Bombyx mori: one gene and its partner. Each later gene encodes a partner of the first gene's protein in a complex. Links are inferred from orthologs where the notes say so. Each region holds a gene or a part of one and is shown on either strand. Other genes may lie near its edges. The genes, in order: integrator complex subunit 4 and integrator complex subunit 7.

The links.
Region 2: the proteins of integrator complex subunit 4 (region 1) and integrator complex subunit 7 are in contact, whole or in part, in a cryo-EM structure (PDB 8RC4), measured with the Homo sapiens proteins. The link is inferred for Bombyx mori from reciprocal best matches to the Homo sapiens genes INTS4 and INTS7. Residues at the interface, in NP_291025.3 of Homo sapiens: Glu536, Met539, Asp540, Arg571, His572, Ala574, Tyr575, Asp578, Ser579, Ser610, Phe613, Arg620, Leu624, Leu627, Gly631, Glu634, Leu635, Phe638, Arg641, Asp642, Arg645, Leu646, Glu648, Leu649, Gln650, Lys677, Leu678, Trp679, Asn680, Val681; in NP_056249.1 of Homo sapiens: Lys137, Asn138, His140, His141, Arg144, Gln145, Gly175, His205, His206, Asp207, Ala208, Ser244, Ser245, Leu246, Val247, Lys282, Thr283, Pro284, His285, Thr286, Thr321, Ile322, Lys325, His326, Gly686, Tyr689, Glu704, Gln707, Gln708, Leu711.

What each region holds. Positions count from the first base shown.
Region 1 is NC_085121.1:12,643,788-12,652,865, reverse strand, and holds part of integrator complex subunit 4, read left to right. Parts: intron 1-544; coding exon 545-667; intron 668-1,553; coding exon 1,554-1,689; intron 1,690-2,957; coding exon 2,958-3,095; intron 3,096-3,414; coding exon 3,415-3,571; intron 3,572-4,795; coding exon 4,796-4,939; intron 4,940-5,885; coding exon 5,886-6,106; intron 6,107-6,277; coding exon 6,278-6,420; intron 6,421-8,160; coding exon 8,161-8,380; intron 8,381-9,078. UniProt on the Homo sapiens protein: Component of the integrator complex, a multiprotein complex that terminates RNA polymerase II (Pol II) transcription in the promoter-proximal region of genes.
Region 2 is NC_085129.1:14,667,903-14,677,870, forward strand, and holds the start of integrator complex subunit 7, read left to right. Parts: upstream 1-4,199; 5' UTR 4,200-4,330; coding exon 4,331-4,418; intron 4,419-4,491; coding exon 4,492-4,906; intron 4,907-5,245; coding exon 5,246-5,358; intron 5,359-5,499; coding exon 5,500-5,633; intron 5,634-5,883; coding exon 5,884-6,072; intron 6,073-6,200; coding exon 6,201-6,358; intron 6,359-7,287; coding exon 7,288-7,411; intron 7,412-7,865; coding exon 7,866-8,077; intron 8,078-8,647; coding exon 8,648-8,836; intron 8,837-9,868; coding exon 9,869-9,968. UniProt on the Homo sapiens protein: Component of the integrator complex, a multiprotein complex that terminates RNA polymerase II (Pol II) transcription in the promoter-proximal region of genes.

The DNA of each region.
Region 1 (9,078 bases):
TAAGATTGGATTTATGTACAATATAGGTAAATTAGCACATAAGTAACTCTAAATAAACGCAAGTAAAGAAGCATCTCCGAACCTGTTCCGAACAAAAATAGCGTATGATTGGCCTAAAATCATAAGCGACAGCGATTTTACCAAAATTGAAAGGCGGTTGCCCAAGTAGTGGTATGAAGTGGCGGGTAAGTGAGTCGCCACACAGTCCTTGTGATGCTATGAAGCCCGCAAGTCACCCTCCTGCTTGGTTTGTTCAGGAAGAACTCATGCGCTCCGTTTTCATGGATGGTGGAGCAGTGATTAATACAACTGCGACTCTACGACATCTATTACCACTTTTCCCTGATGGCAGAGAGAGAGAGAGAGAGAGAGAGAAGGCGAGAGAAAGAGAGAGAGAAGGCGAGAGAAAGAGAGAGAATGAAAGTTATTTTCTAATTTTTTTCCTAAGTAACTAAACAGAAATCTGCCACCATCAAACTTCACCTCTTTCTACGAAAAAGGGCAATTTAGTTTTTACTGGAAAATAATAGAACTTTGGTTTTAGGATTATTCAATGGACGTCAGGGAAGGTCTACACAGACTGCTGGGCTCGTGTACAGTCGCGTCCAAAACATGCCTGGAGATGTGCATTGATAAAATTCTGGAGAATCTCAAAAGATATCCACAGGTATAGCTATTATTAAATTACTTGATAAGAGTACTAGGGTAATGTTTTGATTATAAACATCAATGTGAAAGAGATGTATGTTTTTGTAGTAGTTCCTTTTAGTGAATGACTGACTTGGCACAGTAGTTAATGCTGAGTGCTGGCTAGAATGTCTTGGGTTCAATTCCCACATCGGGCAAACATTCGTGTGATGGATATGTTTATGTGCCCTTTGTCTGGATGTGTAATATCTAAATATGTATGTATTTAAACGTATACATATAATTTGAGACATGATGGATGAAGGACATATGATAAACTTTGGCAACAAACTTTTGTTAATTGTACTTTTTTTTCGTACATAACTTCATCACATGCAATATCTAAAAATTGCCTTTAATGCCAGGGGTTTTAAGGTCTAATATATTTTATTGTCACATAACACCTTCATTCAATGTTAAAACTCAAAAATCTTAAAAATGGTACTTAACTCATAATCATCCACTCATGTTTTTAAGTATGTATTGTACAAGGTCGCGGTACACGAGGAATGGCGATGTCTTATGAAGCGCTCCACTACCCGAACTGATGACCACGACCACCCAAGAGTGCAAACGACTGAGAAAAAGAATTAGTTTTTTTTATTGCTTAAATGAGTGAACGAGCTCACAGCCCACCTGGTGTTAAGTTGTTACTGGAGCCCATAGACATCTACAACATAAATGCGCCACCCACCTTGAGATATAAGTTCTAAGGTCTCAAGTATAGTTACAACGGCTGCCCCACCCTTCAAACCGAAACGCATTACTGCTTCACGGCAGAAATAGACGGGGTGGTAGTGCCTACCCGTGCGGACCAACAAGAGGTCCTACCACCAGTAAAAAGTGTCCGTTGTGTTATTGTTCAGGATAAGCGTTCGACATTCCGTTGCGTGCAGCGGCTGGGCAGCTCGCACGCGACCCTGGTGCTGCCGCTGACCACGAGGCTGCTGGCCGTGCACCCTTTCTTCGACATGCCTGAGCCAGATGTTGAGGATCCAGCTTGTATCCTTTGAACAATATTAATTTTAGAGACATACAAAATTCCCAATCAGTTCTTTATTTAGTGTTTTTTTTAAGGGATTTTATGACCTGGTAACTAAGACCTTTAGGTCATGTCTTATTTTAATTTATATTCTTATTGTTTTGAAAAATGATAATATGGAGTGAAATAAAATGAAATGAAGATGATTAATTGGAGACATTAATCAACTGGGATGAAATAAAATAAAATGAGATGAGATGATATGGGGTTAATCTCTGTAAAATGGTTGTGATTTACTGAGATTTTTTCAGTGGACTTTTTGGAGGATCCCGAGAAGTTACGTCCAGCGGCTTTGTTTCATTTTCCCACATTTGTGCACTTTTAGATACTAAACAGTTAATAAACCACCGTTATTACACATTTAAACCTGAAAAAAAAAATAGACAAAGTAAAACAAATCACACTACTTCAGTCCTCGCGTTCCCGCCAAAAAGTCTCTTTATTTAGTATTAGTTACTCGAGTGATGCAGTGATTGGTGTGCTTGAAGCTACAATAATGTCGATCGCATGTTTTTTTTTGCCTTAGAAATAGACAGAAAGCTGGTATCCCTCTGTGCAGGTTCGCAGCAACTTAACGCATGTTTTCTATATTACCATCATATATACTAATTTTTACAAAGCTGGTTGTAATGTAAAAAAAAAAAAATTAGGTTAGTTTACATAGGTTAGAACTGGGGTTCCCAAACTTATTTTGTCTACTGCCCTTTGCCTACTTTGAGAATAAATTATTCTTTAGCGCCCCCATTTTTTCACATACCTAAAAACCTCTATAGTGAAAGTTTAGTCGGTGTATAAGAGTCCTCTTAGATGAAATTACAAATCGCCTCTCAAGCTTCTGCACAACGCTCCCATTTTTTTCTGGATCTGTTACCGCTCCCCTTTAGGCCTGCAGCGCCCACAGGGGGGCGTTATCGTCAACTTTAGGAAAGGCTAGGTAAAAGGAAGGGCATAATTTCCTGATACAAAGCATGGCTCAAGTATACTATTGTACTACACGATTCTGTTTTCGAATGAAATAAACCAATTATTATGATCAAAGTCACACACACAAATCGACAAATTCTAAATTTTGAAACAAAAATGATGATGACAGTACTTATGTTGTGTATTGAATAGTGTTTTAATGACAGATTGTATAATTTGAATTTAAAAAAAAAAGGAACCTTAATAGCTGTATGTTTAAGATAGTTTTCGCTTGAAGCTAATATCCTTAACTAGTCCATAATAGATATGTGCGTTTTGATCCTGGTGTTGAACGCGGCGCAGCACTGCACCACCATGCTGCCGCTGTTCGAGGAGCACACCATCAAGCATTACACGTATCTGCGGGACACCATGCCTCATCTCGTGCCGCATCTGCCCATCGGTTAGTCATACACACGATACACGAGCCTTTCGAGGAGTCACGAGGATTACGGTGGTAGGACGTGTGGTGCTATGAAATTTTATTAATTAGGCCTTTTGAGGTTATACAGATGTTTTTTTTTTGCTTAGATGGGTGGACGAGCTCACAGCCCACCTGGTGTTAAGTGGTTATTGGAGCCCATAGACATCCACAACGTAAATGTATGTAGGTCCTACCACCAGTAAAAAAGCGATACTCACGTTGTGATGTTTATAGACTTCGGTAACTACTTAACACCAATCTTAATCATATTTACTTATATATCACTGATGTACTTTAGGCGAACAGCAATCAAGCGCGGAGAAGATAGAGGCTGCGATGGACGACAGCGCCGTGAGACGGTTCTTCGACTGCGTGCTGCAGCACATCGACAACGGGACCCTCTCCACCGCCGTGAGGCTGAACATGCTGCGCTCGGCCGAGGAACAACTTAACAAGTAATCAATGGTTTATACACAATACACGGGAAAGTGCTTTAAAGCGGTTTAACGCTTCTCTACTTTAACAAGTAATCAATGGCTTATACACAATACACGGGAAAGCGCTTTAAAGCGGTTTAACGCTTCTCTACTTTAACAAGTAATCAATGGCTTATACATAATACACGGGAAAGCGCTTTAAAGCGGTTTAACGCTTCTCTACTTTAACAAGTAATCAATGGCTTATACACATTACACGGGAAAGCGCTTTAAAGCGGTTTAACGCTTCTCTACTTTAACAAGTAATCAATGGCTTATACATAATACACGGGAAAGCGGTTTAACGCTTCTCTACTTTAACAAGTAATCAATGGCTTATACACAATACACGGGAAAGCGCTTTAAAGCGGTTTAACGCTTCTCTACTTTAACAAGTAATCAATGGCTTATACACAATACACGGGAAAGCGCTTTAAAGCGGTTTAACGCTTCTCTACTTTAACAAGTAATCAATGGCTTATACACATTACACGGGAAAGCGCTTTAAAGCGGTTTAACGCTTCTCTACTTTAACAAATAATCAATGGCATATACACAATACACGGGAAAGCGCTTTGAAGCTTTAAATCATGTTAAATATTCCCAATAATGGCGGTTTTGCGCCCATGTATATTTATCTAATGTATAAAATTCACCTGTCATCAACATCTATTTTTCATGCCCTTAAATGTTAAGGTTAAAGCCCTGAGAAGGGGAAATTTGAATTGAGGAGTGGGGAAAGGAAATCATTAAAGTGGAAATACTGTCGGCTATAGATGTTTTACAGACTTTTTGGCGGTAACGCGAGGAGTGAAGTTGTGTGATTTGTTTTATTTTGTCTATTTACTGTTTCTTCAGTTTTCAATGTGTAATAACTGTGGTTTATTAACTATTTAGTATCTGTGCACATATGTGGGAAAATAAAATAAAGCCTTTGGACGTAACTTCTCGGGATCTTACAAAAAGTCCACTGAAAAAGTCTCAGTAAATGACCACCATTTTACTGAGATTATATTACATCTCATTTCATTTCATTTCATCCCAGTTGATTAATGTCTCAAATTAATCATTCATTTCATTTCGTCATTTTTCATAAAAGTAAGAATATAAATTAAAATAAGACATGACCTTAAAGGTCCTAGTTACCAGGTCAAAAAATTACTTTAAAAAAAATAGATGTTTTACATTGCAAATTGTTGTCAGGTTGTCGGAGATGGAGCCGGCGGTGTGCGGCGCGGCGCAGCGGACGGCACTGTTCGCGCGCTGCGTGCGGGCGCTGCATGACGCGCTGCAGTGCGCCGCGCCGCCGCAGCACGCGCTGCGCTCCCTGCACGCAGACTGTCTCCGGTCGGTAGCCTCCATCATTACATAAAACGTAAAACGATAGTACGCACGTGCACGTGTAAAATCTGTTGTGCTAAATAATAATAATAAAAAAATACACATATACTAGTCAGGTAGACAGCGGTTTGGCTCTGCCCTTGGGATTGCTGACGTCATTGAGCGATGCTAACCGCTTACGCATTAGGTGGGCCGTATGCTCGTATGCCGTATATAACCAATGTTAAATATTTTGGGTTTGTTTTGTTACTTTCAAAGGAATTATAAAAACTTTCGATCCTATATATACCTAAATTGTTCAATCAATTTCGAAATATAAATACCAATTATTCGAAATATTAACGATACGGAGGGTTATCTTTCAAATTTACGGATACAAGTCGAGCATCAATAAAAATATAGTACATTGCGTGTAAAATTGCGACTGGCAAACACGTGGGATGAGATGGCCTACTTTTCTCCCGCGGAACATATACAATTTTTTCTCCTACCAGCCCGAAAGCTCGTGGAGTACCGAGCCGGGGTCCAGGGGCGAAGGCCTGGCGGTCTGTAGGGGGGGGCAGCCCCCCCCCCATACCCATAAAAAAACATTTAACTGTTGTTTAATTTTGAAATAAACTACTACTAATTGAATAAGAACTGTCTGATGAACTGATGAATGATTCATTTTTGTTTAATACTTCACTTTAAAATTTTATTGCCTTTTGTTTATTTCACTTTTACACTAAACACAATATTGCAAATTACCCGAGCACAACAATGGCGGAGAATTTTAGGTGTGTGAGAGCAGACGTAAACACTAACGCGCATGCGCACTTGTCACTGCCCAGGGAGGAAAAGTTCCACTTTCTTCCCTGTACAGCGGGAGGAAAAGTTAGACTTTCTTCCCTGTACAGCGGGAGAAAAACCGAACTTTCGGCATAAATAGGAGAAAAAAAATTACATTCTACAGGCTTCAACATCAGTTTAGCGGGATGTCCGAACAGGACAATGCGTGCGTTTGGCAGCTGGCGCTGCGAGTGTGCGCCGCCCGCCTGTGCGCCGCCGTGCAGCAGAGCGCGGCTGGCAACACTAGCGGCGGGGTCGCTGCAGCTGGCAACACCGCCGCGCTGTCGGCCGTCGCAGCTCTCACGCACCACGCCGAAGTGTTGGACAGAATGCTGGCTTCCGCAGGTAAATTCAATAAGACTTCATAGATTACGGTATTTCAGTAAATAGAACGGCCGGCGTGAACAGGGAACATACAAGACAGTCAACGCGTTAAATGGCATCGGTGCAATGTCTTCAAACTGGACTGTCACAGCTTTAGAGAGCGTATTGAAGTTTGACCGTTGTATTGTCCAGGTGTAGAGCCGGATCCGTTCACGATAGCAGTGTTCCGTCAGCTGTCGATGAACGCGGACAACAAGCCGGCCGCGCTGGCGAGGAGCATCCACCCGCTCCTACTGTCCGCGCCGCTGCCGGTCATACCCAAACCTAACCTTAAGGTACGCTCAGACAATCGCTGGTAGTTTTCCAATTACAGAGCATAATGCGACTCAGTGACGCACAATGCCGAATTACGCTGAAGCTTAATTGGAACGTGAATTAGTTTTCAAATGCATCAGCAGAGTGCGCTAAGTTAGCACAGTTTTAATTAACATTGATTATTTCTAAGAAACTACGACGAAACGAAAGCCTTACCATTTTTTTCAACATTAAATAATATTACTAACGATATTAAAAACAAAATTTCGATCAATGCCAACTTAAAGAAAAAACACTTGTCAATTTTCTGTCACTGAGTCGGTATCGATTGCGAGTATCACGCGAGGGCAGTACTTTTGAGAGCGCTCGATTGTGCGAAGCGTCGCTGTAGTTGGAACATTCAACGTTGAGCATTATGCCGCATAATGCGCTCTTGTGCTGTAATTGGAAAACTACCATTGTGTGCTATCATAAGACGGGCCGCGTACAAACGTGACACTGAAATAGTTAAAGTTCGAAATACGTTTTTGTTGGATGCTTGGGTTTCTTAAATAAAAATTCCAAATCGATCTCTACCTATTTCTGCCGTGAAGCAGCAATGCGAGGGTGGGGCAACCGTTCTAACTATACTTGAGACCTTAGAACTTTTATCTCGAGGTGGGTGGCGCGTTTACGTCGTAGATGTCTATGGGCTCCAGTAACCACTTAACACCAGGTGCGCTGTGAGTTCTTCCATCCATCTAAGAAATTTGTATTTTCTGTATACAAGTTTTTTCTTAATTTTTATGTTGCGAGCAAGTTAGCTTGGCACGACGATTTGTTAAAGTGTAATTGGTGTAGGTAAACATAAAATTTTCAATATTGCTCCTTAAATTTTAGTTTAGGCGTTAACAGTTTTCATTGAAGTGGCTATTGTAAATTCGCTACATGATTCATCCATATTATTAGGAACCGCTGCGTTCATCGACAATGCGTTTCTAAATTTTTTGGAATAAACTACCCTCCAAGGTGTATCCCGAGCGCTACGACATGTCCTTCTTCAAACGAGGCTTGCGGAGACAGCACTTAATGGTAGGCAGCGGCTTGACTGCCCCTGGCATTGCTGATGTCCATGAGCGACGGTAACCGCTTACCATCAGTTGGACGGTATGCTCGTCTGCCTACAAAACAACATACAAGTTTAGGGGCATACGCTACAAAATGTCGGTAGTTTCCATACAGAAAAAATATTTGTCTTAAAGTATCGCAGTTTCAGGGCTACTTCTAATCTGTAGCTAAACGATCTGTAACTTAAATGTGGACTTTTTGGCGGGAACGCGAGAAGTGAAGTTGTGTGATTTGCTTTATTTTGTCTATTTAGTGTTTCTTCAGGTTTAAATGTGTAATAATGGTGGTTTATTAACTGTTTAGTATCTGTGAAGGTGCACAAATGTGGGAAATAGAAAAAAATCCGCTGCATCTAACTTCTCGGGATCCTCCAAAAAGTCCACTGAAAGAGTCTCAGTAAATGACCACCATTTTACTGAGATTATAATATTTCATCCCATGTCATCTCATCACATTTCATTACATTTCGTTTTCATTTCACTTCGTTTCGATTTCATTTCGTATTATCATTCTTCAAAAAAGTATTCATTAAAATTAAAATAAGATTTGACTTAAAGGTCTTAGTTACCAGGTCATAAAATCCCTTAAAAAAAACTTCAGTGTGTGTTATCTTCTTTCTTGGTTGAGCTCTGTAAATCGATTATCTGTTTAAGATCGTGATGTGCAAAGCTAGCATAGTGGAGCCGGCCGCCGACAACGACTTGGTGGTGCGGTTCAGCGCGGGGCTCGTGGCCGGCGTGGCGCTGGAGGCCGAGGTGACGCGCGTGCGCTGTGCGGACGCGCTGCGCGTGCGCGTGGCCTACCCGGACCGCCGGGTGCACGCGCTGCTGCCGCCCCGGGACCACCTCCGGCCGCTCGACCATCACGACCAAAGTAAACATCTCATAGATAACACGGGTCAACACCAAATTTGACTTTGCGAAGCATAAAATTTCGATATTTTAGATAGTAATTAGGCGAAAAAAAAATACATGGCATGAAACAGTTTGCTTTTGAACTTTAATAAATTAACCACATATGAAACAAAATGCATCAGCATCGTATTTACACTTTTGTGACATTTTAAGTTTTTCTGGGCTTGTACAAAACACCTGATCGTTGTTTATTACTCGAGTGCCATCTAGTGGCACTGTGTAAACACCCCACTCTCATAGCGCGGTTTTTTTGAAAATATTAAAAATAATTAAAATTTATAAAAAAAATTAAAAATGAGTATTATTACTATAACTATCACAAAAGCAAAGTTTATATAAAAAAAAACTATTTTATTTTCGTTTTTGTGAATAATTAACCGGAAAAACCTAGTATAAACGTTAGGGCAAAGAACGAATTTTTTTTGTAGAGTTGTGTAATCAGCCTGCCTTCTCAAACACACCTTTTTTTTTATTGCTTAAATGGATGGACGACCTCACGTCCCACCTGTGTGCTTAGTGCGAGTTTTTTAACGTTCTCGATAGCGTAAAAGTTAGCTCATATTTGTATCGAATGGGATCGTTTGCGTATGTTTGCCGCTAGGGGCGCTGTTCCAACTGCATACAAAATTGGGTTAACTTTTACGCTATCGAGAACGT
Region 2 (9,968 bases), on another chromosome or scaffold:
TGAAGGCACGAACGACGCTTCTTATCCTCATTAGAGCACTAATCCTCTAACAAATGAAATATCACAATAAAGCGGATACCAAAGAAATTTAATCCTTAAACAATAGGTACATGGGACTCGTGTACGGGCCGCGTTATCTAAACAGTAGCTAACAGGTATTTTGAGTTCTTATCATATTCTTGTGTCTTTTGTAATGTTTACGTTTAGAGGTTTCGTGTCTATGAAGGCTTTCTTTCGTTTCGTCTATTGTATTTGCATTCATTCTAAAATTAAGTCTTATGATTCTAGACGCATAAAGCCATCAAGCTAACCTGGCTTTTCTACTTATTATTATCTATGCTTCTACAAAGAAGTCAATTTAAGTTTTTATGAAAAACCACACTGGTTTAATTGAAAATATTTTTAATATCAAGGGTTGAAAGACTATTTGGTTTGTACGTAATTTTTGCTACATTACAGAAGGTTAGGAATCTAAAGGTTAAAATTTGAAAAGAATATCTTAACATAAAAAATTCTTCGGCTATTCGAATGAAGTAAACTTAAACGCAGTTCAATTAAAAACTTCGAACTGTTCATGCCACGGAATAGATAAATAAGGTTTATCTATTCCGTGGTTCATGCTAATACCGAATAAAACGCACCTTTACAAATTACAAAGATAAATGTCGTTTAAATCAAATGTCGCCTTTCACCCCTCAACCGATACCTAGTTAACGCAATTTTCATAATAATATATTATGTCGACGAATAATTCTTTAGAATTCTATTATTTGTGAGAACTATAAAGTATTTAAAACATCTAAAACAATGTAATGACAGTAAAAAACATGAAATTAAATCCGTGAAACTAATTCTATGACTACCGCTGACGTAAACCGTAGATAATACATATTTTTAGTTATCTAGGACTCTTTAAAACTTGTGAAAAACAAGAAATAAGTCGGGTTACCTAAAACAATAAATGAACATAGAAAGTACTGAAGGAACACACATCTGTGATGATGTCACACAATGCTCCATTAAACAAAACGTTAAGAATAATGAAAAAATAAAAAAAATATCATTAATGGTCTACGATTTATACTACCTACACTGCGATTAATAGAACTAGATTAAAAAAATATATGTTTTTACTATTGTTGTGCATGTGTACAACAATAGTAAAAACAATGTGCACAACTATATGCATGTGCACCTGCACGTGCGGTCGATTTATACAGTCGAAATAGGCGAATACCTGCGTAGGTAACTAGTAGCCTAATAGATAAAACTCCGGATAAAATATATTTGTTTGATCACATAGAAAATGTTGGGTACACGTAATTTCTTACTAGAAACTTCGACTTGGTATATGTTGGTCGATATCTATGTAAAAGTTAACTCAAATTTGTATGGAGTTGAAACAGCGCCCCTAGCGGCAAACATAATTAAACGTTCCAACTCCATACAAATTTGAGTTGACTTTTACGCTATCGAGAACGTCAAAAAACTCGCACGGAGCACTCAGTTGATCCAAAACCCTGGCACATACACTTATGGCAAATGGTAAAAAAAAAGCGCGCCAAATATACCTAATCCTCATAATACATTTAGGAGTTTGTCGTCGCAATAAAACCACAAAAACGTACATTATATTTTATTTATCCTTAAAAATTAGTCTAAATCAGACAATTGTGGGCCAACTGATCCCATTGGCGTCCAGCATCAATTACTAAACGAAAAAAAAGGTTCTCCTTCAAAATAACTCTGTCAAAATAACGCACTGTTCACACCGGAAGGATTAAAAGATAATCATACAAAAGAAAAAGGAAAGAAAGGTTAACATGTAGATATGATTCTTTAAAGTTTCTCTTCGTTTTGGTTAGAACAGCAAGAATTATATTTGCATAATATCTTTTAGAACAGTTTATTTAAAAAAATCCTTTATTCTAGTATCTCAACATTGCCAGGGCAATGAATGAACGGTAGGATTATCTGTCAGCCCTTCAAACGACTCTGACTCGAAGTACTTCTAATACCACCTTAGATAATAAAAGGTACGGTGTCCTAAATTTACATGTTTATTTGAAATTTAAAACTAAGCCTCTGTATCAAATAACATATAGGCACCTATATGTTTGTTTCATGGTAATCTAACTCCGGCATTATTGTGGTGATCCCGTGTCATTAGACGCCATCGAGGTAGGTTCCCGCCATTTTCGGATAATTTTCGCGCTCCAGCTAGGGCTGTTAAATAAATTAAAATTAAATTTTAAAATCATATTAATTTAGTTTACGTGAAGAGAAGGCATTCTTCGATGTGATCTCTAATACGAGATGCATAGATTCACCGGCTAGAGGGCAAATTATGACATCACACGGGTAAATAGCACCCATGTGCCTATAATAGATATTACGGTCTCATACAATCCATACGTTCGTTTGAAGGGCAAGATAGCAATTTTACAATACAATTTAGACATCAACCTAATATCCCAGTCCTTTGTGATGTCTATAAGCTGCACTTTTAACGAAACGTAGTTTTAGCGGGTCGCGATTTCGTTCCGGTAGTTGATCCACTCGCGAATCAGCTACCATTTAAATAACGTAAGTAGACCTAATTAGAACAACCTAATTAACTTTATTACCAATTCTAGTAAAAAACAAAGCGAACAACCCTACGATAAATGATGACATCCAACTCTGGTATTGTTACTGGAACTGTAATTACCTTTGTGAGTTGATCCCGGTGCCCGGTAAACGTTGTTTAGTCGAGCTAGTACTAGATTTAGTGGCTCAAATTAAATGACCTCTATTTACCTTCCTAAATTGTAATTTTGTGATATTTATAAATAGACAGCACATTTGCATGAATTAAACTTTGTGTTATCGATCTTTAATTTTTAAAACGGTAATATTCAAAATCTGGTAACCAATTTTCGTTTCAGTGATACATATTAAATCCAATTTCTAACTAATGATGGCAGTATTCTAAGCGGCAATATAAATGTAAATATATCAAGACATAAAATACCCGAAAAGCGGAGTTTTCTCGTTAAATATAATTGAATATTTACAGACCATAGTATTTCAGTACCTGTAAACTAAAAACAAGGACCATACTGACATCTGTTGTCAGTTGCCAATGTACTTTAAAACTCTAGTTTTTATGTTTATTGACCCATAATGGGCGATAGATGTCGCTCAAAACAAAAAAGAAGTTTTGTTTACAATTTTTTCCCTGTTGAAAAATCAGCCGTACGTACTTGTGTACATTTATTAAATATTTTCTATGCGAATTATGGATATTTTACCCCTAACTTATTGGCCAAACTATAATCAGTCTATTTCGACTTTTTAGCGGGAACGTGAGGAGTGAAGTTGTGTGATATTTTGTTTTATTTTGTCTATTTAGTTTTTCTTCAGGTTTAAATGTATAATAACGGTGATTTATTAACTGTTTAATATCTGTGACAGTGCACAAATGTGGGAAAATGAAACAAAGCCGCTGGACGTAACTTCTCGGGATCCTCCAAAAAGTCTGAAAGAATCTCAGTGAATGACCACTATTTTACTGAGATTATATTTCATCCCATATCATTTCATCTCATTTCCTTTCATTTCATCCCAGTTGATTGATGCCTCAAATTAATCATCTTCATTTCATTTCACTTCATATTATCAATTATATGCTTCAGAATCCCAAACAGACAAATACGGTGATGATATAAAGATCGCGGTACCAGACCATAAAATGTACAAAAAAATAGGACCATCACGAAGAAATACATCGATGTTTCACGCCAAACAAATGTTTTGAATGTATCGATTAGAAACATAAATATAATAATATTATATAATAATGTAATGTATTGTGTTTATTAAATAAATATGGTTATGATAGTAAAAGAGAAAAGAAAGAGAAAATCATTTGTTTGAATCAAATCATTTTTTAGGTTTTTACTAAGATAGTTTTTAAATGTGCGAAATTTATCTATTCGGAAACTGAATGGGTAGTTTTCAACTATTACAATGAAGGCAATCAAACGTTGAAAGAATGCGAATTTGGCATTGTAATCTAAATTGTAATGAAATATGTATTTGTATTAGTGACACTATGATTGTAATTGAATTGATGCGATGAATCGAGTAATGAGATTTGTGGCACGCAAAGGATCGATTAAAAGTAAATCAACATTCGACAACACTATTGTAGACATTAGGTCCATAGATTAGGTATACACCTTAGGTAGATAATACACGACTCTATGATACACGACGTTGGGTGTTTACATAAACAATCAAAACAAAATAAATTAAAATTATTCTTATTAAATAACCTAAACGGATAATGATTGGTGTTAAAATGAATACATTCAACGACAATTCGGCGGAGCCTGAACAAGATGCAAATTCAGCATTGACCGAGCTCGATAAAGGTAAATATAACCTCTACTAATACCTAGAAAACTTTTATTTAAAAAACAAAATAAAAAATGTTTTTTTCTCCAGGCCTACGGTCGTGCAAAGTAGGAGAGCAATGTGAAGCCATCGTCCGGTTCCCTCGTCTTTTCGAAAAATATCCTTTCCCTATATTAATTAATTCATCTTTTCTTAAATTGTCTGACGTTTTTCGTATGGGTAACAATTTTTTGAGACTCTGGGTTTTGAGAGTCTGTCAACAAAGCGAAAAGCACCTAGATAAGATTCTGAACGTAGACGAGTTCTTAAGGAGGATCTTTAGTGTTCTACACTCAAACGATCCGGTGGCTAGGGCTCTCGCTCTGAGAACGCTTGGTGCAGTAGCAGGTATTATCCCAGAGCGCCAGAATGTACATCACGCAATCCGAAGGGGCTTGGATAGCCATGACAATGTTGAAGTTGATGCTGCTATATATGCTACTACTAGATTTGCTGCCCACTCCAAGTAAGTGCCGTCATAAGCTGCAAAAACTGTCATTGAGGCAAAAATTTAATCTGTTAACCAAATAGGTACTTAATAAAAAGTATCCAATGCATCCAATGCAATGGTAGGCAGCGGTTTGGCTCAGCCCCTGGCATTGCTGAAGTCCATGGGCGACGGTAACCGCTCACCATCAGGTGGGCCGTATGCCCGTCTGCCTACAAAGGCAATAAAAAAAAAAAAATCCAAACCATAACTAAGTATTACTAATTACCAGAAGTATAAACTGCTTATTTAATTGTCTCTCAAACTTTTAAATGCATATTTTGTACTTGTATTTTCTCATATTGTGATGTGTTTTAGTTCATTCGCAGTAGCCATGTGCAATAAGCTATCAGATATGGTGGAAAGTGAGGGCACTGCTGCTGAGAGACGAGCAAAACTTGTCAGAGCCCTGAGGACCGTTCATGGTGGAGGTAATCAGGAATTTTACTAGTTACCTACCTTTATTCAAATTAATTTCTTTATTCTTAAACATGTATAAAAATAAAGTTGATAAACCAACCACCTAATAAGTAATTTAGAATTACACTTAACCTTTTTTTTTTGTTTTCTAGCAATCAGAGCACAAGGAGTTTTGAAATTATTGAGATCATTGTTAGACAAGTTTCCTTCGTCAAGTTCGGTGCGAGCTTCAATCACTGCACTCACACATATAGCTTCAGATACAGTGGTTCATGTTCCTGATCAGGTAAGAATGATTCATTATATGATTATAAAAAGTCACTGCAGAAGCACAAAGTGAAGCCCTGATCAGACGTGGTTACCATAACTTATAGGCTTAGCAATGTTTAGTGCAGTATCAAATCACTGCTTAAGGAGTCATTTTAAAGCTCATAAGAAGAAAGATGCATTCATAGTGTTCGGACTACAATCAAGCTTATTACTTCACTATAACATTACTAGGTCTATTAAAAACTTCAGTGCTTTTAATGTTATAGGTTGAACTACTGCTAAATATAGCCATGAATGACGCCCGATCAGCCGTACGTCGTTCCGCACTGCTTGGCCTCAAGAAGTTGGCTGAGAATGCAGCTCTCTGGCCCGCACACTGTATACAGAACCTGGTCAGAGCCGCTAGCGATAGTCGAGACACTGACCACACTATGCTGTGCCTTCGAGTAATGCAGGTAATAACAATAAGATATCTCACTGTGCTTTATTTAATTGAAAAAAGGACTCACTTAAAAGTATTAATTATAATTGGTAAAATGCATGTTTTTATTCAAGGAGATTACATGACAATTTATCCTTCTAGATTCTGGTGCAGTGCCCAGCAGTGTGCGCCACGGCAGGGTGTCCTCAGCGCGGCGAGTACAGTGCCCTGAGGCAGTACTGCAGTGAAGCCGCTCTCAGTGCTGACTTGAAGCAAGCCGCAACCGCTGCGGATGTCCTCACCAGGATCGTTGTTCATTGGTGACTATTCATAATTTTTTTTATTGCTTTAAATCGGTGAACGAGCTCACGGCCCACGTCTATAGAGAAATCTACAACGTAAATGCCGCCACCCACCTTGAGACATGAGTTTGATGCATTCAAACCGAAACGCATTACTGCTTCACGGCAGAAATAGGCAGGGTGGTGGTACCTACCCATATGGACTTACAAGACATCCTGCCACCTGTTAAAATGTATAATGACTAGCATCTTCCAGGTCATCTCTTAGGCTCTTGGTTACTAAACGAGGGCATAAATAAACAAATCTGTTTACTTTGTTGAGATATGGCTGTATGGAACCTATTATCGTACAAAGTTAAATATCACTAATATACCTTGAACTACTATTACCTTGAAATCTCAATTTCAATATACATATTAGAAAAACATTTTGTGATCTGTGATATAAAAATTATTGCTAGTGCCCGAAATTTAACAACAAAATATACCTTTCAGTACCTATTCTCTAAAGCCAAAAGGAAAACTCATATACACATACTATTTTTGTGGATCACATGACTGAACAAGGATAGCAAACATAAATGTCATCTGATACTTTTAACTGTCCCATAAAAAAACATTATAAATACACTTGTAATTGAAAATTTGGTTGCACTTAAAGAAGCTATAAGTATTTTAATTCAATGCGTGAACAAATAAAGCACTAGTTTTTAAAGGCCCTTTTTGTTATCAGGCAACATTTACATATTACCATTCTATAAAAAAAAAAAATGCTAACGGGTGATGGAGCAATTTATCTTACTCTAGTAACTTTCATAATAAAATATATCTTTGCACAAGCTTTTGTATTTCACATGGACTTTTGTAACATCAAAAACAAATATTGACTGCAACATACACCATGTCAGGCTGTCTGTCAGCATTCAGCATTTTTTAATGTCTTGTAGCTATGAAGAATGTCTTCCGGTGGAAGGTTCAGATCTGATGCTGGCTCTGGAGTCCCTGGTGATAGCGGCAGGGGCTGATAATGGGCAGAATATAAAGTCACTCAGGGTTGCGCTTAGGTGTTTGGTAAGTCATAAATGAGAAAGAAAGGTGTTCGACAATTATATCTCTGATTAAATACGCACCCTTCAACTCTACATCACGATCACGATCATTCTGTCAAGAGTGACATGATTGAGAAGAATATTGAATCAGCTGTAAATTTTTTTTAAAAATACCCTCGAAAAATTGAAATTTCTTCTAACACACATTAATGTTAAAAGATTGAAAGAAGTTATAAAAAAAAGCAAAGACAAAGTTTTTTTTTCTGTTAATACATAATTTTTTTTTAATCCTCATTAAAAAATTCACAACCTACCCTTGAGTGATCAGTGGTCAGATTACAATCATAATTGTCTGTTTTAACTTCATCCACACGATATATTAAAAACAACCTGAACACAAACGTGGATTGGTTAAGTTGATTGAGACATAATAGTCACGAGGTCAAGATAAAACTTGAACGGTAACCCATTGCCAGGTCCAGCTGAGCACTGCAGAACCCACAGTTTACGCTCCACGGACGGCATCGGTGCTTGCTGGACAACTGGCTACCAGTAGCTGGGCCAACCCTGGCCCGAGGGAGGCCTCGATCCTGGAAGCCCTGGGCGCGTTAGGTGGTGGAACCTACTGTCCCATGTCGGTGGCACCAGCGTTGCCCGCACTGCATCAAGCGTTGGAAGCCATGCAGAGGTAAACAAAATACTTTAAATTTCAAATCAAACCCTTAAATTAGTAGTGACTTTTAAAATAGGGTTAATTCGTGAAATTAATTAAACAAGTACAATTCACAAATGTAGATTAAGTAAAAATAAAAAGTAAAAGATCTACATTTCTAAAATATATATTTTTTTTTGTATCATCTGTTAAAAATGACCGATTCAGTTCTAGTTTAGACGGCACTGAGAGAAAGAAATCTTTCTGTTTGTTCAAATCTGTTTAATACGTCACTACATTATCAATAAATACGTAATGATATTGAGTTGTTTACATTGCTGCTGAAAATTCAGTACTCAATTCGGTGTGTGATGACGTCCAACTCTAAGTCTCAATTCGATGCATTTATTCAGAGTATTTTAACGACGAAAGGAAAAACAAAACTACGCTACAAACACGTGTAAATATAATGTGACCATTTTTGATTCAACAATGAACTACGCATTGATAATCTGGTTGCAATTGGCGATTAAAATCTGACGGTATTTTGTCACGGAGCTTCGAACGGCTGTCGCTGTGTTGACAAATACGCGTTATTCTTTACAGAGAAAATGCGATAGCAAATCCGTCAGACGAAGGTAACGCTCTGGTGCTTCTCTGCACGGTGCTTTTCCAAGAACGGGCCGGGAAAGCGTTGACCTTTACCATCAGCAACGACTGGTGCACGAAGATCTTGGACGCGGTCCAAGTGGCTGACGGTTGGGTGCGATACAGAGTCGCCAGGGCCGCCTTGAGGTGAGAGCATAATATGGTCTGTTGATGTAGACCTTGAAACAGAATAACTTAACAGTCGTCCTTACATTTTCATCACGTATAATTAGATCAGTTATTTTTTTTACAAGTCAATGTCGGTTAGCATATTGTAAAACAAACAGTAAAAACGTATATAATATTCTTGTGCCATACTTAAAAAAAAACTGTTACAAAATAAAGATTATAAAATGGCTTGTTCGCGACATCAAATTAAAAATTCGTCGCTTTTGTTTCACTACGAATGATAGATTTCATTATTTAAAAAAATATTCAACAACGCGTTGCTCTGTCAACAGTGCCTGACAGTGTAGGATTACAAAATGGCGCATAAAATATTTTGTAATCCTACCCTGTCAACCGTATTTTTTTTTATATTTTTTTGTAATTCCCAACAATTAACCTCACAGAAGACGGCAAATTTAAATCAAGCGTAATTTTGAGGACACCTTTTATAGCTAAGCATGGCAAAGGCGTTATTGGTACTATTTAACTAAAACAAATTTGAATTTATGTTATCTGCATAAGGTTGATTTTGGTTCGAGCAAACAGCACGAATCAAGTGTGCTTATAGTGTGCAGCACATATTGCTTAGTGCGAGTTTTTTAAGGTTCTCGATAGCGTAAAAATTAACTCAAATTTGTATTGAGTTGAACAGTGCCCCTAGCGGCAAACGAGAAGTTCAAAAACACGCACGAAGCACATAGGTGAATCGGAAATACGTATCGAGCCAGAGGTCTTGTGAATTGCTCTTGAGTTGTTAGGTCTCCTTCGGAGGCGCTCGGACAGCTGTTAGCAAATCCCACTCCTCCTGGCTGAGCCTTTGCTCGCCCACATGTCCTGGTGAAACTGGAAAGGCCTCTGGGCTACCAGTAATCTTTCAATCATAAAAAAGGCCTTGTGATATCACTATCTTGCGTGTTTCTATCGCATAACAATCGAGAAAGACTGCCTTAAATTACTTTAACTCCTCCCGCAACCTCATGGGATGACACGCTCAAGATGTTTGTTCCGAAGGTACGGGCATCACCACCTGGCCGCGGAGCTGCTGGTCCGGCTGGCGGCGCAGGCCCCCAGCGAGGCGGCTCAGCGCTGGCTGGCGGCGCTGCACCGGGCC